3 linked regions of the Nothobranchius furzeri genome follow. The protein of the gene in region 1 interacts with the protein of each later gene in a biochemical or structural test. Links are inferred from orthologs where the notes say so. Each region holds a gene or a part of one and is shown on either strand. Other genes may lie near its edges.

Evidence for each region.
Region 2: the proteins of ikbkg (region 1) and rab11a are reported together in a solved structure, tested with the Homo sapiens proteins (2 studies listed by BioGRID, with this or other methods). The link is inferred for Nothobranchius furzeri from reciprocal best matches to the Homo sapiens genes IKBKG and RAB11A.
Region 3: the proteins of ikbkg (region 1) and ripk1l form a complex in vitro, tested with the Homo sapiens proteins (4 studies listed by BioGRID). The link is inferred for Nothobranchius furzeri from reciprocal best matches to the Homo sapiens genes IKBKG and RIPK1.

What each region holds. Positions count from the first base shown.
Region 1 is NC_091755.1:44,544,934-44,551,939, reverse strand, and holds part of ikbkg (NF-kappa-B essential modulator), read right to left. Parts: intron 6,807-7,006; 5' UTR 6,805-6,806; coding exon 6,666-6,804; intron 3,953-6,665; coding exon 3,687-3,952; intron 2,936-3,686; coding exon 2,861-2,935; intron 2,582-2,860; coding exon 2,375-2,581; intron 2,115-2,374; coding exon 2,053-2,114; intron 1,613-2,052; coding exon 1,565-1,612; intron 1,386-1,564; coding exon 1,283-1,385; intron 1,210-1,282; coding exon 1,094-1,209; intron 1,007-1,093; coding exon 854-1,006; intron 768-853; coding exon 494-767; intron 1-493. UniProt on the Homo sapiens protein: Regulatory subunit of the IKK core complex which phosphorylates inhibitors of NF-kappa-B thus leading to the dissociation of the inhibitor/NF-kappa-B complex and ultimately the degradation of the inhibitor.
Region 2 is NC_091749.1:66,766,712-66,773,817, forward strand, and holds the start of rab11a (ras-related protein Rab-11A), read right to left. Parts: upstream 4,076-7,106; 5' UTR 3,951-4,075; coding exon 3,911-3,950; intron 434-3,910; coding exon 238-433; intron 1-237. Other genes in the region: SH2 domain-containing protein 7, read right to left, coding at 5,233-5,904. UniProt on the Homo sapiens protein: The small GTPases Rab are key regulators of intracellular membrane trafficking, from the formation of transport vesicles to their fusion with membranes.
Region 3 is NC_091751.1:51,502,626-51,509,731, reverse strand, and holds the start of ripk1l (receptor-interacting serine/threonine-protein kinase 1), read right to left. Parts: upstream 3,901-7,106; 5' UTR 3,691-3,900; coding exon 3,512-3,690; intron 2,721-3,511; coding exon 2,564-2,720; intron 2,420-2,563; coding exon 2,282-2,419; intron 2,204-2,281; coding exon 1,972-2,203; intron 1,899-1,971; coding exon 1,749-1,898; intron 1,536-1,748; coding exon 1,459-1,535; intron 1,344-1,458; coding exon 1,259-1,343; intron 1,146-1,258; coding exon 540-1,145; intron 435-539; coding exon 288-434; intron 1-287. UniProt on the Homo sapiens protein: Serine-threonine kinase which is a key regulator of TNF-mediated apoptosis, necroptosis and inflammatory pathways.

The sequences.
Region 1 (7,006 bases):
GCCGCAGCAGAGAGCAACCTTTTCACCTTCACCTCATCTCCTTGAGCCAGTATGCGCTAAACGACCCTCACAGGCCTAACGAATGTCTCTCCCACCCCACCGCCCAAAACGTCACTCATCACCTCAGAACGTCGATCCGGGCTGCTGGTGCAGTAGAGCTGAGCTGCTGGCGCTGCAGCTGCTTCGGCACGTTTTAGACCACCAGCTCAGCTGAGTGGTTGGCTTTAGCGAGGAACCGCTCCTGCAGACGCTAACGAAGGCTGAGGAGACGTTCCAGCTGTTACACTGACGCGTTTCAGGCACTAGGGGGTGCTAAAGGCAAGCTGACCTGCACAGGATCCCTTTAATCTGTGACTTTAAAACCAATGGTGACGGTGTCCCTTCCGTCCTGTAAAGCCAGAGTAAGGACCTGAAACAGCTGGAGTGTGTAGACACCAGGGCGGAGCCTGGTGAAGTAAAGCGGTGCAGACAGGAGGAGAGAGAGTGACCCGACCTGTGCAGTGAGGACAGGGACGGTTTCTAGCGAGCCTTTCTGCTGCTCCACCTCCTCCTTCAGTTTATCGATGGTGTCCTGCTTGAGCGCCAGCGCTCGCTCCGCCTCCTCCAGTCGGCTGCTGAGATCTCCCTCCTGTAGGAGAGACCAGAGTCGGCACAACAGAAGCAACGCTGGGCGTGTGTCTGCGACTTTATTCACCTCATTCTTCAGTTTGGCATCGTAGTCTCTAAACAAGCAGGTGTAGGCGTGCTGCAGCTGCGTCAGCTTCTTCCTGAGGGGACAGGAAACAGAAACGCTCAGCTTCTCCACACACACGCCCTTTCTGATGGGAATGTCGCTATCGCAGCGGGAAGCCACCTCTCCTCGGTCACGACGTGTCTCTCCGTCTTCAGCGCCTGCTCCAAGCTCTGGACCTGCAGCAGCAGCTTGTCCTTGGCCACATGGTGCTGCTTCTTCAGCTGCTCCAGCTCCCGCTCTGCTGCCTGCAAGGACTTCACCTTGCTGACCAGCCTGGAGCAAACAGGAGCAAAACCCACAGCCCAAGCATCAGAGAAGGCTCCGTGTTTACAGGGATGCTGACACGATGCAGCTGCTCACTTCTCCTCCAGAATTTTGCGCTCGTGATCGCTTTTCTCCAGGCAGCTCTGCCTCTCGTTCAGTTCTCCTAACAGGGAGGTTACCTGCACCTTCAGAGTCTCACAGTCTTTGGAGAGCTGCAAAAGCAGACGCAGCTTAAACCACCAAACCAGAGCCGCCAGCTGAAGCTCCACACTCAGACTGTCCTACCTGGGCACAGTCCTTGTCCTTCTGCTTGAGCAGAGCTTCGGTTCTGTCTCGCTGGGCCGAGCTCTTCTGCAGGTAGTCCAGCTTCTCCTCCAACTCCCGGTACCTGCAGAGGAAACTCGTGCGTCACTTCCAGCTGCAGCGACACACTCAAGCGACTGTCATTAGAGCGGTTCATCAACCAGAACAATCTGCAGCACGCGTGATGGACGAGCAACAGCAAAACACAGAACGACGAGCAGGACGGCACGAAGACAGCGAGAGGAAGAGGAGCTGCGGGCTCACCTGCCCTGAGTGGCCTGGAGCTGCTCTGTGAGCTTAGCCAAGCCCAAACTGGAAAAGGGACAAAAAGAGACGGAGGAGGAGGGGGGGGGGGGAGGAAGAGGAGGAGGAAAAGGAGGAGGAGGAGGAGGAGGAAGAGGAGGAGGAGGAGGAAGAGGAGGAGGAAGAGGAGGAGGAAGAGGAAAAGGAGGAGGAAGAGGGGGAGGAAGAGGAGGAGGAAGAGGAGGAGGGGGAGGAAGAGGAGGAGGAAGAGGAGGAGGAGGAGGGGGAGGAAGAGGAGGAGGAAGAGGAGGAGGGGGAGGAAGAGGAGGAGGAAGAGGAGGAGGAAAAGGAGGAGGAAGAGGAGGAGGAGGAGAAGGAGTTTTAAAGGTTTTAGTTAAGCAGAAGAGAGAAGTAGCATGCTAGCATCTGTAATCTGCATCAGAGTTATCCAGCAGCTAGAGTTCGGGTCAGAGCGGGTTTGGGACGCGGGACGGTGGACGGTGTCGTACCAGTCGGAGGAATGCTGCGCCTCAGAGCGAAGCAGAACGGTTTCCTCGGCGCCGCCGCTAGCCTGTAAAACACACGCACACATAGGGGAGGTGCTAGAACAGGGGTATTCAACTCCAGTCCTGGAGGTCCGGTATGCAGCACGTTTTAGTGGTTTCCCTGATTCACCTGTGCAGCAGCTCATCAGGGGCTGTGCTGGAGCAGAGTTAAAGCCAAAACGTGCCGGATACCGGACCTCCAGGACCGGAGCGGAGTTACAGCGTAATGTAAAACATAAATAAAACTACGTAGAGAAGTCTGAGCATGCTCAGATCACAGCGTCACCTGCGCCTGCAGCAGTTTGGATCGAAGATGGTCGATGCAACGCCGCATTTGCTCTTTGTCTTCCTCTCCCTCCGCCATCTTCTTCATCAGCTCCTCATTTCTCCTCTCCAGCTCTTCGGTCTTCCTCTTCAGTTCTCTCGTCCCTTCCTCTGTTTTCTCTTTGTGGCTCTTCAGCAGCTGCAGGAACTCGTTGGCGCCCTCCACAGGCTGAAGGGGGAAGCACACATGTCATCTAAAACCAACTTCAGCCCATTTCACTGGTTCAGGACCCATTCCATTTCACTCGTGGTCCTACCGCCATCGTCCCGTCGGTCTGTTTTATGGGCGGGACCTCGTTTATTTAGCTGAGTCAAGTCATAAAACTGTGTTTTAAATAATATTCATGTTTGCTGCTGTTTGAAGCAGTCTGACATTATTCTACAGACCATAATATGAGGTGGGGATGTCAGAGAGTGGGCGGGGCTACGGCACACGGGACCAGCTCACCAGGCTGCGGAGCGGGGTGGTCTGAGTCTGCTGTTCTGATTCATCGACCCGTTTCCTCTCCCACTGGTCCAGAGTCTGGAAACATAAACCAGACTTCCGATTAGAAGAGCACCAAGTCCATCGGCTGCTTCAGCCTCACAGAAGCATCCTGATACTCAAGAGCAGCGTACTGATTACAAACGTTTGCTGTATTTCTGTTGACAGCTGCAGTTTTTACTGTCTCCATCCTGACTGAACAACCACATCTCCCCGTCGGTAGCCTAACCCTAACCCTTCTACTTCTGGACCACGGTCCCCAGAATGAAGACACAATGAATGCAAGTGAACGAGGCTAACACGCTGTTTCTAATCCCGTTTGTTACGTACCACGGACGGTCCGTTCCTTTTAAACACATTCTGATGCCAACACACGGTCACGGTTAGGCAAGGCTGCTTTTCCAACAGCAGCAAAAGTTATTTTGTGAGAGAAGATTACAACTCGTCTTCGGCGAGCTTCACGTCCGTCTTCACTTTCAGCGTTTTAGAGCCTCGGAGCTCGATGAGCTAGCCAGAAGACGAGCTAGCCCCGAGACGAGCTAGCCCCGAGACGAGCTAGCCCCGAGACGAGCTAGCCCCGAGACGAGCTAGCCCTGAGACGAGCTAGCCGTTAAATGAGCTAGCCCTGAGATGAGCTGCTGAAAAGGGCCTGAGACGCTTTGAGGACCAGCTCCCACAAAAAGACACTTGGACGTGCGCTAAAGCACTTTACTCAACGACTCAGAGGGAGTCGGGCTGAAGGTTTTAACGTTTTCTTACAGCTTCCTCTCTCTCGCTGGAGCGTGCTAACCTGTGGTCCGTCCACCAGCCCGTTTCTGGACGGGCGTCCCTGTAGGTCTTCAGTCTGGCTGGAGCTGCCGGAGAGGTTAGAGGAGGAAGCCGGTCCGTTCATCATGCTCTGTAAGGAGTGGTTCTCCTGGGCCAGTCTCTCCACCAGGGCCCGGGCCTCCTGGAAACGAAGGCTGAGAAACTCCCGCTCCTCCCTGGTTTTACGCTGCCATCCCTCCATCTCCTCACAGCGCTGACGCAGGGCCTGGTTACTCCGCCGCAGAGCCTCTGAGGAACAGATGGATGAAAGGAAACAGAACAATTATTAAAACTTCCTCTGTCCTCCACCCGTTACCTGTACAAATGGCACCTGTTAGAACTGGTTACCAGTGTAAAGACACCTGTCCACAACCTCAGTCACACTCCAGACCACTATGGCTAAGACCAAAGAGCTGTCAAAGGACGTCAGAACCAAACTGTGGGTCCCAACTCTGGTATCTGCAACAGGTACGCGGCAGCTTGGTGAAGAAATCACCTGCGAGAGCAACTATTAGAAAGTGGAAGACAAACAAGACCACTGATAATCTCCCTCCATCAGGGGCTCCATGCAAGATCTCCCCCCGTGGGGTCAGAACAATCACAATAACGGAGAGTTAAATCCCAGAACTAGACGGGGGACCTAGTGAACAAGGCCACCAGGGACGTGTCCCCCTGCTGAAGCCAGTACACGTGCAGGCCCAGCTGAAGTCTGCTCGAGAGCATCTGGATGGTCCAGAAGAGGACTGGGAGAATGTCAGGTGGTCTGATGAAACCACATTAGAACGTTTCGGTAAGAACTCTACTCGGCGTGTTTGGAGGAGAAAGAATGCTGAAGAACACCACATCTACTGTAAAGCATGGGGTGGAATCATAATGCTTTGGGCTGTTTGTCTGCACAGGGACCCGGACGACTGACCCGTGTAAAGGACAGAAGGGGGCGGTGTATGGTCATGTCTGGAGTGAAAACCTCCTTCCACCAGCAAGGGCACTGAAGATGAAACGCGGCTGGGTCTTCCAGCATGACCGTGATTCCAAACACCGTCCGGGTAACGAAGGAGGGGCTTGGCCAGTCTCCAGATCTCAACCCCACAGAAATATTTGGAGGGAGTTGAAAGTCAGTGCAGCCCAGCGACAAAATAAACGGGAGTCTTTTCATTAGTAAGGTTTTCAGACAGCCATGTCGGTGTGGTCTAGACAACTTCACAGTCGTGTTTCCCGTCTTCGGTTAAACAGGCAGACAGATTTGGACATCCTCTGAGAAAAGTGTGTCCAAGGGTTAGGCCCTACGACAGGCCCACTCGACCCCATTCCGACAAAGCTGCTCCGATCTGTTGCTCCTACAGTAGCTGCTGCAGTCACACGTGTGATGAACGCTTCACTGACCTCACTTCCCACCTCTCTCAAGCACGCTCAGGTTAAACTGCTGCTAAAAGACCTTCCCTTCCTCCAGATCATGTGGAGAACTACCGAGCTATCTCTCCTCCCATTCCTGTCTAAAATCATTGAAAGGGCGGCCTTCAAGCCGATCTTAGAACACCTGTCACAAAACTGTCTGCTTGACCCTTCTTCTACCAACCCGGGTTAAAAGATGGCCACTCCACTGAAACGGCTCTGTTAGCAGTGACTAACAGCGACTGCCAAATCCTCAGTACTTATCCTGCTTGACCAATCGGCTGCATCGGACACTGTGAACCATGGCTTCCTTTAGTCCACACCCTCTAGCGTGGGCATCACAGGGAAAGCACACTCCTGGTTTGAATCGTACCTGACAGGACCATCATTCAGTGTATCGTGGCTAGGACAGTCTTCTGCTGTTCACCATGTTGCCACAGGAGTCCCCCAGGGCTCTGTACTAGCACCTCTTTGCCATATACACCACCTCACTGGGTGAGATCATTCAATCACATGGCTTCTCCTACCACTACTATGCTGACGACACCCAGCTCTATCCGTCATTCCCGCCGGATGAGCCCACAATTTCCACACACATCTCAGACTGTCTTTCTGACACGTCATGATGGATGAAATCTCACCATCTTGATCCCGACTCTGACCAGAGAATGCTGCTGTTGTGTCCTTGGGCAAGACACTAAACCCCCCTTGCCTGCTGGTGGTGGTCGGAGGAACCGGTGGCGCCTGTGCTCGGCAGCCTCACCTCTGTCAGTGCGCCCCAGGGCAGCTGTGGCTACATCGTAGCTCATCACCACCAGTGTGTGAATGTGTGGGTGACTGATCCGTGTTGAGGAGTAGCTACTCCTGTGATCAGCTGACCTGAGCGAACGAGCGGGCGTGTAGCGATGCAGTAGCTCAGACAGATAGGGAGGGGCCGGGCCATTTAAGCCCTTAAAAGCAAATAAAATCATTTTAAAATCAATCCTAAAATGAACAAGCAGCCAGTGCAGGGAGGCTAAAATGAGGGAAAACCTTTGATTGCCACTTAAAAGGCGAGCTGCAGCACTCAGAACCCTCTGAAGCTGAGCAAGGCAGGATTCACTGACTCCTACCTCAAATGCCAACATACTATTCTGATAGGAAGTGGGTGGTTGATTGTGTCGAGGCTGCTGAGAGGGCTAGTAGAACCAAAACCGCTGCCGATTTAGCATCAGCAGCTAAAGAAATGTTGCTACGGACAGCTAGAAGAGCAGATTCAGAGCTGTGCCGACAACAAGAAGCAGACTGAAAAACTCAAGGATTGGATTGTCATCTAGGAAAGTCTGGAACTGCATAAAAGCAGCATGTGTTGATCCTGATAAACTCAGCCTGTCGTGGACACCGCTCCTGCATCCAATCACCGTTACAGTAAAGGCTGAAATTACTGTTTGAATTTACTTTGTTCTTTTACCTCGATAACTCTAAACTTAAACGACTTCTGAAAATGCTAAATCAGACACACGGAAACCTAAAAGCCCCGCTGAGCATCTGGTAATACACACAAGCGTGACCGTCGTGTGTTTTTAGGTACCTCGAAGCTGCTGGTTGTCACACAACAATCTGGTCACCACTTCATTACCAGCGAACTCTGGTGGGACCCTGAGGACCCCCCCGCAGTCCTCTCCTGACATGTCCCACTGCATCGGACCATCAGGCTGCGGCTGCACCATTCCTGCAGAAGCAAAGGCTGGGAATTACAGAGATCTAATCCATTCACTTCTTCATATGAAGAACTCAGACTCTGGCGGTTCCTGAACCTGTTTCCTGGTTTCCTTTGGAGACTTGTTACACTTTTAGCTCATTTTTTAATAACGTCTAAAATCCAGCCTTCGTGGCATTTATTTAAACGGGCATTGGAGAAACTTTTTTGTT
Region 2 (7,106 bases), on another chromosome or scaffold:
CTTTAAGCCCAGGGTCTCGTGACCTGGTCAGGTCTAAAACTTGTCTACGGACCAGTTTAATCTGAAAATGTGCATATTTTTGCATGTTTGTGTCTCCGGCCAGTCACCCACAGTGAGATTCTGGAATTAGGGGTAAAGGCAGCAAAACATAACCAATCCTGTCATAGTAAATTAAAACCGATTCCGTGTGACATCAGTGCTGGTCCAACCCAACCAGACCTGTGGTTCTGTACTCACGCTGATGTGATGGCCCGGTAACGTTCTTGTCCAGCTGTGTCCCAAATCTGAGCCTTCACCGTCTTGCCGTCCACCTGGATGCTACGCGTGGCGAACTCCACCCCGATGGTGCTCTTACTCTCCAGGTTGAACTCGTTACGAGTGAAGCGAGACAGCAGGTTACTCTTTCCTACACCCGAATCACCGATGAGGACCACTGAGGCAAAGCAGGACAAAGGAAACACATCAGACATCCTGAATCTAGAAAACCGCAGAAATAAAGATAAAAACAGTTTAAAGTCCAAGTAACAAGAATGAGGAGAAACTAATGGATGTCTATTTTATTTATGATGCAGGATTATTGGTGCTCCCTGACCCACTATCCTTAAAGAACCTTTAGAACAACATCAAGCATCCAGAACCCGGGAGCGGTTCTAGACCTTTCTGGCTCTGGTACAAAAGTTTCTATTATAGCCATTTATTTTAGGGGTGCACCAATCTATCGGCCCCAATCTCGGGTTCTTTTCAAGCCAATCATTGCTATAGAATAATTTTTGAACATGCGTGTGAAAACGGGTACAAAAGTTTTGTTTTCAAATTTTGAAAAATGAAAGTCTAAAGGAACAAATATGATTTTGTTGTTCAAACAGCAATGCTAAAGACGTTCATTTATGCTTGAAAGTAGGGATGCACCGATACGATACTGGTACCAATACCGATACCAGTATTGGTAAAAGTTAGCCGATACCAGGAACTGATACCAATGCAGTTGCTTGAAAATGGCTTCCCTGTAACTTGTCATTTCTGTTCACCTAATATTTTAGTTTTGTGATGATTTCCATTCATATATTTTACTTTTTATCTACTTCACAAACTTTTCCTGTTGAAAATCAAATCTGTATTCCAAATCATCGCATTTTTTTTGTTTGGTAGAAGTATCGGTATTGGTAATCGGGATCGGGGAGTACTCAGATCCAAGTATCGACATCGTATCGTTTTGGAAAAAAGTGGTATCATTGCATCCCTACTTGAGAGCATTACCTCATGTCCAGTTGAAAATGGTATTGTTTCATGAGTATTCATGTTGGTTTTCACAATAAAAGGAAATTGAAACATTGACATAATCTGCTTTTAGTTGAGACAAAAATCAGTATCAGCAAGTCTGTTTTTATTTTTTTCAAGATTGGTGAACAGTGATCAGCCAAAAACTGCAATTGGTGCACCCGTAATTTATTTATATTTTTTTATTTGTCTCTGGGCGTTTTTTACTCAATATTTTTTAAAGAGACAATTTGAAGTTTTTACCATAAATTTCAGGAAATATCCATCAAAATGTTGTTGAAAATGAATGAAATAATTCCCAGTTGTTGCTTTGTAACATATAACCATAAAAATCTGGTCTAAAATACATAGGAGCGGGATCGTTTTATCAGGATGTTAGGAGTCCCACCCCCTTGGCCCCGTCCACTGACAGGTGCCATGTTAAAGAGCAAGTCACCCCTACCAGAGTCTCACTCCACTCCCATTTCCTGTTTAAAAAATGCTGCTGCCTGGCAGACCGAAAGGGCAGAGCCGCTAACACACACACACACAGGCTCACATTGGCCGTGTTCAAGATGATCCAGTTCTGCGCAGATTCGATCACCGGTGATCGGCGCGCAGTGCATGCTGGTTAGATTTGTGTCTGACTTGACGCCGACTTGCTCTGATGTCATGCCTACGTAGGCAACGATAACCTCGTGAGATCAAGGCGGCCGCAGATTTTGGAGCAAGGCGCTGCAGTTGCTCTCCGCCGGTTGCAAAACCTAGGGCGTGACAGGAAACGCCTCGCTCTCACCTGATCTAAGATGACAACTATATAGGCCATAAAGAGAAATGTGATTTGTGTTTTTATTGTCACATTTCCTATGAGCACACTAAAACTCTACAGCTGCTAACCTTTACTTATTATTACTTCATATGCACATGTCAACATTACATGATATTGTCAGGATGTGTTTCAGTTGCTAACAAGCACCAGAACTTTAATTACAAATTAAACAAGTATGAATGAATGTGATATCTTTATCCATCATCACCTGCGAGCTACATGTAGGGAAATTTGATCATCTTAAGCCTGGTTCATGCTTCTCCGTCAGCTCCGCAAAGGACAGACACGCACGGATTGACGGAAGCGTTTTGCTCTCATACTTCTCCGTCTCCTGGAGAGTGTTGCAAAGCAATTCCCCAGCAGGACAACAGAGGACGTAGGCTGTTCTGTGGTATCCTGTCATGCATCCGGTCCAAGATGGTGTGTTTATATTATGTTTTTTTGTATATAAGAGACTTTTTAACAGACAAATTTGTCTCTCATTCTCCTCCACCTCTTCATGCGCTCGCCACCTCTAAACCCACGTTTCCTGTCATTTCCATCCACTAATAAAACGCTTGCTGCGCATCTTTTCACTCCTCCTGTCACTGGGGAATTAAACATTCATATTTTAGAGTTTTTTCGCGAGGTATTCTTCAAGCTGCTCCGTGTCTGCCACTAGTTATCCTCGGCTCTCTTTATGTTTTTGAGGGCGCAATGGCGGCGCTGTAGACAACAGCGGCGTCCTGACCAATCACAAGCTTGCGTTCTCCGTCTCGACTGACGGATGTTTAGAAAAGAGAGCTCGACTCCGTCCGTCCTCGCGGAGCTCTCTGACGTTGCGTGTCTCAGCACTGACGCAGATGGAGGAGCATGAATCAGGCATTAAACGCCGGCTTTCAGCCACTCCCCCTGCTGCATCCGTCTGCTTTCATCTGTTTTCCAAGCGAGGCGCTGCTCAACTCGAACAAGGCCAACAACATTGTGATCTCATAATGTACCAGCTGACATCATAGTGTACTTCTCAGCCAATAGCGATGGCAGATTTAAATTTGAATGCAGTGCAGAGTTTTTACCTGACAACATTGACAGTTTTAAGCAGAATATTTCAATTTTAACTAAGATGCACTAAAATAAATCGCTTGGGGGGGGGGTTGAAAAAGACAAATACAACCGTTTTACTTCTTATTCAGGAGTTATTTTAATGATACTTGATTATTTTATGTTCTCTTTGGTGATTCTGCTCCTTTCAGGATTTGGTGTTTTTATAAACTGATAAATGAAGTTAAAACTCTCGGGAAAACAGGAGGTTAGTGGAAGAAATGTGAGAATACGAAACCGGAAGCTCACGTGAGAGTGGAATATAAATAACCCACAGATGAACAACCTGATCAATAATCTGATATTAATAACCTGATCAATAAAGCAGTTAAGAGTTTTTCGTCCAGTTTCACCTCAGCTGGACCAGCCCGGTTCTGCCTCGGGCTCTGAATTTGCTGTTAAACGTCGTCTCGGGCCCGTTAACGGTGCTGCTGGCAGATCGGTCCGGATCGCATCAGGAGGATCTGATCATGTTAGGTCTAGGTGTGTCCCGCTGGCTGTCGGCAGGCTAACCCGAGCTAACCGCTATCCCGAACCAAGATGCGCTTTAGCACGAACAACAAGCACCGGATGAACAATTTCCTACCCGAACGAGTCAGACATGGTTCGTCGGGAGTTCGGAAAACCGATTCAACGCGCTGACTCACGTCAGAGAAGTTTGTTGAGACCCGAACACAAAAGGCTGACGGCGGTTCCGTTAGCTCCACCGCCTAGCCTGCCAAATAACAACAAACACCGCTTTACCTTTGAATAAATAGTCGTATTCATCATCTCTGGTGCCCATCGTCCCAACACTGGAGAGCGGGTCCAAAAATGATTTTGTTAAAACAGAAAAGACGAGATTTTACTGTCCGACGGGAATTAGATGGGAGATAGTTTCTTCTTCGCTGGAATCCTGACAGCGGAATGCAGCGGATACTCTGCCCCCCAGCGGCCACAGGACGGAGCGCAACCTGGAGGTGTGTGTACCGAAAATGCCAGCCGAGACATTTGCATGCATTGTTACGGGAACGCGCATATTGAGGAAGACATTAATTTGGAGGCCTTAAAACTCATAAATACATTATTTTTTCATTAAATGTAGAATACTGTATGCTCACCAAGTGTCAAATAAATAAAGTGATTTCAAACTTAAAAGTTATTTATTTTTAGGCATCAATACATTCATTAATAACAGTATAATTAGGCTATGAATAAAGTATAAAAATGATGCTAACCTGAGTGTTTATCTCTTCAGTTAGTTAAAGTGACCTGCACATCTCGCTGTAGCAGGGCAGCTGTGGCTACATTGTAGCTCACCATCACCAGCATGTGAATGTGTGTGTGCATGGGTGAATGGCTGGTTCGTTGTAAAGTGCCTTGGGGGGTTTTAGAATCCTAGAAGGCGCCACAGGCCATTTACCATTTTGCATAACTAAATCTCAACACTTCTAGGATGGAGGGGTTGAAGGGCTTCTGGGGCTAGTGTCCCATGTCCTTCAGTCCCAAAATAAACAATACAGATATTAAGCTCACTATAGTAGCCCAGCATAGCCTATACATGTGAACATGTAGGATAATGTCATTTGATCCACAAGAGTTTAATCTTCTAAGACATTGGTTCTCAATCCTGGTCTCCAAAGGGCGGTATCCATGTTTTCGTTGTTCCTCTATACTCTACATAATTCAGTGGTTGAATCACCTGTTCAGAAGCTCCTCAGGCTCCGTAAAAGCCTGTTAATCACCTGCTGATTACAACCAGGTGTGTTGAAGCAGGGAAACAACTAAATCATGCTGGCTATCGGGACCACCCCTGCTATAAGATAACAGGGAGGATTTTCTGGGCCTGCTGTAATTTGTGGTGGTCAGTATCCCCCTCTTTTCACCCCATAATTGATCATGCAGGTATGAATCTCACTCCAGGAGGCCTGTTTTTATTTTCATCTCTTAGAGATTCTGAATGAAGTCTCCTGACGTCAGGAGGAAGCCCCGAACTTGAGAAACTCCACAAGATATATTTATTTCTTTAAGAAGTTCCTCCATTTTATGTTCTGTAGAGACAAAATTATTTAAAAAAAAACGTCAGATTATTTATTTACTCTCTGTAATAAAAACCAGCACATGACGTTGCATCTTACATTTTTGCCCCAGGTGCTTTTGGGTTTCTTAGTCTTCATGTCCTCCAGAGACTCGTAGGTGTTGCTTTGGACTTCAGTGGCCTCTCCAGGGACCAGCTCATAGGTGTCTTCTGTCTGCGTAGTTGGTGCTGAACCCTTAGAAACCTCAGCGTACATGACACCCCGCCGCTGAGCTGCACTTTCTCCAGGTACCCTGGAGGGCTCGTACAGAGGGTTAGACCTCAGCTGGTCCTGGTTTCTGATCTGCTGCTCTGACATGAAACTTCTCAGATCTCCTTCGGGGGCGTGGAGGGAGTAGGTTTGACAGGTGACCCTTTTTGGAGAAGAAGGTGCTTGAAGGGAGAGGCTGCTTAACTGGTTGGAGTATGCCTCCTCCTCCTCCACTTTGGTGCCCAGGTAAGGCAGAGACTGGCTCCTGGTCTCCACCTGGGTCAGATCGGGACATTCCAATTCTAAAGGTCTAAACAAATCCCCATTGATCTTTTGAGTTGGGTTGGTTCTGAGTCTCTGAGCTTTGTTGGACTCAAACTGGGTTTCACTAGGATGTGGTGTCGTTTCAGGCAGAGATCCACTCAGGCTGAAGGCTGGAGGCATTCCCCTCTTTGGTACTGGAGGCAGAACCTGGAACACAACGTGGGGATTAGGGTCAGGTCAGAAACACAGGTATAGAAGATTTTTAAAAGGTATCTGATGTTTAGGTAAAGTGAGCCGTTTTCATGTTTGCTCTTTGCAGCGTACCAAATGGCCAAATATTTCATCTAAATGACCAGAAATGAACTTTTAACTTACAGACCAAACTTCTTCATACAGGTCTATCTGACACCGTGGTGCCGACATGAAGTCTATGTACGTCACGAGTCCTCATGGCTGCAGAGGATGCAGGACTTCTTATCTATCCTCTTTGAATTCAATTCAAGTTTATTTATATAGCGCCAATCACGACAAGAGTTGAATGAAGTTTATCTTCCCTGGCTCCAATGACTACATAAGTTTACAAGTTTTCATAATCATATTTTGTTGAATGGACAATATGTTTAAATCCAAAGTGTTTTAATAACATGTCTAATAATGAATGATGGGAAACATGGACGCAGAGCTCAGATTTGATTCTCAAGTAAATGGAATCGTGAGATCTCGCTATTTTCATCTCTGGCAGATAATGAAGATTAAGCCATTTCTGTCACGTAGCCATTTGGAAACTGTAATCCATGCCTTTGTTACCTGCAGGCTGGATTATTGCAACTCGCTATATGCGGGGCTTGGGCAAGCTCCAATAGCACGCCTCCAGGCAGTTTAGAACTCTGCAGCTCGGTTGTTAACATGTACCAGGAGGTCTGAACATATTACACCAGTCCTACGTGCCTTGCATTGGCTCCCTGTCTCCCATCGCATCAGGTTTAAGGTAATCCTGTTTGTGTTTAAGGCGTTAAACTGGGGGGGCACCTAAATACCTGTCAGACATCATCCACCGGCATGTCCCGGTGCGTTCCCTTAGGTCAGCTGACCAGAGACTAGTAAGTGTGCTCAGGTACAGCTTGAAGTCTCGTGGGAGCCGTGCCTCCTCAGTGCTAGGACCAAGGCTCTGGAATGAGCTGCCAGCCGATATGAAGCAGGCCCAATCACTTGAGAGCTTAAAAAGCCGACTAAAAACCCATTTGTTCTCGATGGCGTTTGGACATTGAAGTTGGGTTTGGGTGGGCAGCGTCACTTTGAATGTTTCTGGATCTGATTCTGGAAACAGGGCTGATATGGACTGCAAAACTGTACTTGGGAATTCTTATTGTATTTTAATGGTTATATATGTCTGTTTTATTGCTGTGTTT
Region 3 (7,106 bases), on another chromosome or scaffold:
ATACTCAATATGCCCATTTTGGTCATATAAAATATGAATTAGACAAAATATTTACTTTTGCTCAGATGAAACAAGAAATGACAGTATTCAACACTGGCCTTTGGGGAATAGAAAAATGTCACTAATAACTGAGATAAGTAAGAAAATAATTCCTTTTTATCACTTAGCTTAGCATATCGAGACTGAATATGCTAATAATTCAGTCTCGATGCTAATCTGTTATTTTTTTAACTTGGGTGGCTGAACCGTACTCAGTGTTACATTAATAAAACATGATAAATGTTTACCGCATTTAAAAATGCTTTCTTGGATCGAGGAGGAACTGGACCCATTATTAAACCGGGAAGACAAACTAGAAGCCCCATGACTCCTGATGCTCATCGTGTTGTTGCTTCCAATCTGGATCCCGCTGGCGTTCTGAATAAAAAGGGAAGCTGGAAAAAACAACAACAAAGACACACAACCAACAAATTTTTCATTCTATTGCATAACAGTCAGAGTAAACAACTGATGAATGCTAAAAACACATTTCCATGTACCTGAGTCCTGTTGTGAGCCATACTTTGTATTGTTCAGATAACACCCCGTGGTTACATCAGGGACACAGGTGTCAGACACCGGATAAGTTAAGCAGGACTTCTGGCGGTCAAACTGGGGGGGTGGATGATGCTGGTTAAACTGTGGCAGAGAGGGTGTGCTAGCAGACATGTGCAGATGGGGTTCATAAGCCGAGGAGGAGTTAATGGAATGGTTGAGTCCAGAATTGAGGCGATCAAAACCCTCCTCCGGGCTGGTGGGCTGCACCATTTCTCCTTTAGTCCATGAATGAACAGAGGACACTTCCTGTGCTGGCCCTCTTGCAATGTTATCTGTGACACTGCCATAGTTAGGCAAGAAAGGGTTTGAGGGATTTTTGAGAAAGTAGTTGGAAGCTTCAGGGTGCATGTTGTAGCTGCCATATTGGTGGTACTGAAGCTCCCGGTCCAGTTTCTCCTCCAGCTCTGGTCGGTTGGTCATTTCTCTTGCGTCCGCTTGAATAAACTCTCTGTATGGGTCGTACTGGATGTTATGCAGGTCCTCGATACTGGCCTCAACTGGTATCATGGATATACTTTTATCTGAGCTCATCAAAGGAGCTGGGTGGTCTAAAAACATCAGAAAATCTTAAATCAGAAATGGTGCTCAAGGGTTTAGGCATCCTGCAAAATTTCAAACATTAAACGTAAAACAGAGCATCAAAGTAAAGAGTCGGACCTACCGTGTTCACATGCCAGACTACATTCGTTGGTCACTGATAATGATTTCATGCTTTCAACCAGTTCTTCTGGGCCATTGTATGTTTCCTGTAACAAAATAACATTGAATCCTTACTTAAAATCAGTATTTAGCTTTTAAAATCACTTGGTGGGTTAGTGAGTTCCTCCCAAAACCACCACAATTATACCGTACTATACTCACCCTTAATGTGCAAACATCTTTCTCTACATATGGTTCAAGCTTTTCCATGTACAAAGGAAGGAAAGAGCGATAAGCCTCTGCAAGAAAGGAGCAAACAGATGAGAGGGGAGGATGAAAAGATCCATCTAACATTAATAATATAATAATAATGATAATAATAATAATAATAATCTGAGTTTCAGTCTGAGTGAGACTCAACATGATGTGTTCCTGTTAGGCATGGGGGGAAAAAATCTAAGAAAAATGATACCATCTCTTTTTCCTAAGAAATGCAATTCTGAATGCCAAACCTTCAAATGTTGGTCTTTGTTCACGATTGTGATCCCAGCACCTCTTCATGAGCTGAATGATCTCTTCAGGCGTGTCTTCAGGAATGAGATGATCTGCTGGTCGGTCACCGTTGATGACACACTGGCTCATGTGTTCTTCACTCCTGGCGTCTGGAAATGAGACAGATTGTTTTAATGTTTGCACAAAAATAAAATTAAACAAGGTTTATGTTTTCAAGCTCACTTTCATATGGTTCTTGCCCAGTGAGAATGACCCAGACCACGATGGCAAAGCTGTACACGTCAGACTTCTCAGTAGAGCGGGCATGGATGCTCTTCAGGTGCTCTGGCGCCATGTAGCTCAGCGTCCCAGCACCTCTCAGTCCAGCCGATGGCTCGTTACGACTCCTTCTTTGAGACTCCTGTTTCGTGAGCTTGCTCCACATCTTGCAGGTTGCTAGGCCGAGGTCGGCGATCTAAATAACGCAGAGAATAAAGCTTTTATAATGAGTGTAAATAAAATAAAAAGTAATAGGTGTTAGATTATCGTGTACCTTGATGTGAAAATCATTATCCACTAAGATGTTTTCAGGCTTGATGTCCTTGTGGACGATGGACCTCTCTGTGAGGTACACCATCCCATCCAAAATCTCTAAGATGATCCTTCCCTTGACAGACATCGGCACATTGACCTACAAAAACAATCATTTAGTGTATTAATATTACAGTTTATAAAAGCACATCCTTATCTATTGAAGCCTAACACAGGTTTCACTATTAAACAGTTGAAAAAAAATGCTTTTTTAAGCCAAGTGGGCATTTTTAGAGTGACTGACCTTCTTCAGCACGACCAGCAGGTTGCCTCTGGGCAGGAGCTCCATAACGAGAGAGCAGTCGCTATCCTCCATGATCACACCCAGCAGCTTTACCACACGCTCATGATTGAGGCTTGCCATGATATTCCCTTCCTCCAGCAGCGACCTTTTACTGTCTCTGATGAGTATGGTGTATATATATATATATATATATATATATATATATATATATATATATATATAATAAAATAGAAACAACAAGAAGAACAAGCATGATCATCTGATATGCTGTGGTAAATGTCCTGTTTGATCTAAATTTATTTTTATTCATCATAGCAAAAATACGTAAAGTTTTATTTTTATTTAATTGTTTGATAACAGTTGATAATGTCACACACATTTCTGAGTTGTAAATTAAGAATTCTAATACTGACATTGTTTTCTTTGTTGGTAAACAAACTGCACAGTTCAGTAAAAGTCACACAATCACACTTTTCTTGAATGATTATAGATGCTTCACAAACTTTGAGTTTGAGACTCTCATACTTGCACACGCAGAGAGAAGCAGAGAAGATTAGTATAAGATCACTGTCAAAAGATTTACTTAAATTCAGTTTAGAATTTGAGATTGTTGCATTTAGAAGCTTTGATGTGTCTCAGATGCTGAAAAGACTTTGCAAAACATGCACCTGTGCAGGTCTGATCTACGAAATAGATGGGAGGCATCCTCTTGTGGAATAAAATATCTGACCCTGACAAAGATTCGTGATAATAAAAGGAAAACAGTGCACTTTATTTTACCATCGGTTGTCTATTTTCACATCAGGGTATTACTTCCTACTCCCTTAATGCTAAATTAAAAAGTCCAGCCACAGCTGTCTGTAACCAGCAATCTGGACACATGATTTAAGTTACAAGGAGGGGAATACCCGGGAATGTTCTCCCTCTGTAACAAACATAATAACTTACTCGCTTCGTAGAGGACCTGTGTACACAGTCTTCAGCGCCACATGGCCGAGGGTGACATGGTAGCACAAATAAACTTCTCCAAATCCTCCGTAGTCCAGCGGCTTCTTTTTGATGAGATCCGACGAGCTCATCTGAAGCGAGGTTTCAGGCGCGGTTGCCATTTCTGATACAAATGACATAAAAACTTCCGACTTTGCTCGTTTACACTCATAACAATGTAGTTAACATTTAGCTACACTACTATATATATGTGTGTGTAAGTAAACGCAGCGTTCAAACTAAAGCACTGACCCGATGAATTAACCACCCGTAACTTTCAAAACACAGCCCCGAGTTGAGTTAGCAAGACATGCCAAGACGCATCATAAAGCAGCTTAATGATAGCTTAAAAACTCATTAACCACGACGTAAAGTAACCTCATTATGCATTCCAATTACAAATATAAAATTAAAAGTGTCAATAAGTTATCCTAAAACTCACTTAAATATTCTTTCTCAGTATTTCCGGTGTTTCCTCGACGTCCTACTAGTAATAAAGCGAAACAAACCGATGAGCGAAACTAATGCTTAAGACTACAAACAGCCTTACAAGTTGATAACAGATTAATACACCAGGCTGGTTAATAGATTCATGTTTGCGAAGCGTTTGAAATAACTAAAAAAGGCATTAAAAACGAAACTCTAATACATGCAGTTGAAAAAAACTATGTTATATAACTTAAATATGTGTCTTCATTTAGTATAAATTAATTCGTCTGAAATTCATATTTACATGTAACGGTGCCTCCACCTAGTGGCCAAATTTGCTAACTGAATTTTACTCAACTGGTCTTCAAGTAGAACCACAGACACATTTTTTTATATTTATTTTGTTTTCAGAAGTTTGATAATGAGGTACAAAATCAAAAGTTATTGTCAACTTTATTGTAAAATCGCCACTTTTATAAAGAACATTTCTTAAGATGATCTATCACATCTTTGAAGAAGAACAAGAAGAAGAAAATATAATTTCTATAATGCCTCTCAAGATAAAAGTCACAAGGCGCTTCACAAAAACAAAAAATGTAAAAGCATGAAAAAGAATTTAGAAAATGGTAACAAATACATTTAAAATGAGCAAAAAATAGACAATTGCGATTTAAAAAATGTTAAGAAAGAGAGAGAGTGAATAGGAAAGTGGGAAATCAGTGGATCCTGAGGAAGGTGGAATAGGTGGGGAGAGCAGAATAAAGAGAGAGTGGTGAAAAAGGTCGTACAAAAGCCAGCTTGAACAGGTGAGTCTTCAGCTGTTTTTTAAAGGAGTCCACTGAGTCCACTGATCTCAGGCTCAGGGGGAGAGAGTTCCAGAGTCTGGGGGCCACAGCAGCAAATGATCTGTCACCTTTGGTCTTTAGCCTGGTGCGCTGCACAACCAGTAGGCTTTGATTACTGGACTTCAGGGACCTGCTGGGGGTGTAGGGACTAAGAAGATCACCAATGTAAGAAGGTGCTTGTCCATGACCCTATAGACCAGAACCAGGATCTTGAAATGAACCCTGAAGTTGACTGGCAGCCAATGAAGCGAGGTGATGTGGGTGTGTTTGGAGGACTTGGTCAGAAGCTGAGCACAGGCATTCTGAACCACCTGTAGACGGTTCAGGGAGGTTTTGCTCAGGCACGTGAAAAGAGAGTTGCAGTAGTCTAAGCGTGAGGAGATGAAGGTGTGGAGAACAGTCTCAAGTTCAGAGCGGGACAGAATGGGACTCAGCTTAGCAATGTTCCTGAGATGGAAGAAGGAAGAGCGAACAAGAACTTACATGAGAATGCAGGGTGAGAGCTGGGTCAAAGGTCACGCCAAGATTCCTGACGGAAGGTTTGGTGTGAGAAGCAAGCTGACCAAGAGAGTCTCTGACTTTGGGAACCAGCTTGTCTGGGGCACAGATAAGGATCTCAGTCTTATCTTCATTCAGCTGTAGAAAGCTCCCAGCCATCCAGGTTTTGATAGAGTCTAAGCAGGTGTGTAACAGCAGCAGCTCATGGAGCTTAAAGGAGATGTACAGTTGGATGTCATCTGCATAAAGATGGTAGGAGATTCCTTTGAAGGAGCTCAGGATGTGCTTAAGACGAAGCAGATAGAGGAGGAAGAGCAGAGGCCCCAGCACAGACCCTTGTGGGACACCATGGGTAAGGGAGGTGGTGGAGGACCGAAACTTGGAGACGGCCACAGAAAAGGAGCGCTCAGAGAGATAAGAGGAGAACCACTCCAGAGCAATTCCTGATAGGCCTACCCAGTCTCTCAGCCTCTCCAGTAGCAGGTGATGGCCAACGGTGTCAAAGGTTGCAGTCAGGTCCAGCAGGACCAGAACAGAACAGTCCTCTGCATCACTGTGAGTCAGAAGGTCATTAGAGACCCTAAGAAGAGCTGTTTCAGTAGAATGAGCTCTATGAAAACCTGACTGTAAGTAATCATAGATGTTATGTTCATCAAGAGCAGCTGTGAGCTGTTTAGCCACAACCTTTTCCAAGATCTTGGAGATGAACGGAAGTTTAGAGATGGGTATGAAGCTCCTATGGAGAGAGGGGTCGAGACTCGTTTTTTTAAGAAGCGGGTGGATTAAAGCGTTCTTAAAGTAAGCAGGGGCCTGATCAGTAACCAGAGAAGCATTAATTATAGAGAGCACGTTGGGACCGATGGACTGAAAAGCACTTTTAAACAAAGATGAGGGTAAGATGTTGAGGGGGCATGCAGAGGTCTTCATAGACTTAACAAGTTTGGTTAACTCAGGCAAAGAAACAGGAGCAAAGCTATCTAGGATGATGGGCCTGGTTGGAGTCGGGAGAGGCGGCGTTAAGGCTGAAGGAGAGATGCTAGATCTAACCTTCTTGACTTTGTCCACAAAGAAAGAAAGTTCTCACAGTCTGCCACAGAGTGGATGGAGGCTGTAGGAGAGGCAGGAGAGATGATACTGCTGATGGTGTTAAACAGCACCTTGGGGTTCCATTTGCTCTGGGACACCAGGTTGGAAAAATAGGAAACCCTAGCGTCTCTGACTGCAGAGTTAAAGGATGTCAGAAGATCCTTTAAGTGCAGCAGATGGACGTGGAGATGGGTTTTCTTCCACAATCACTCAATTTTTCTGCATTGGCGCGTTGGGCTGCGAAGGCTGTCATTAAACCAGGGAGTAGGGTTCACTGCAGGAACTGATCTGGTTCTGACAGGACAGATGTTGTACAGAATGGAGAGGCAGTGCTCGTTAAACTGAGAAGTTAAGGAATCTGGGTCATTATCAGAAGAACAGGGTTGATCAAAAGCAGCAAATAAATTGCTAGCTGTGCTCTCATTAAGAAAACGAGAACTAACCACACGGCCAGCAGGAGGTGGGGAAGCAGAAACTGACAAGCTAAAGAAAATGCATGGTGATCTGAATTATAAACGTCCTCAGGACAAACACTGTCAGCATTTAGACTCAGGGTAAAAACAAGGTCTAGAGTGTGTCCCTTGATGTGTGTGGGGCCAGAATCAGTTCAGTTCAGTTCACTTTATTTCAAACATATACATTCACCAACATTTCATAAAATCATTCCACGCAATTGTTTGAAAAGGAGTAGGGAGAAG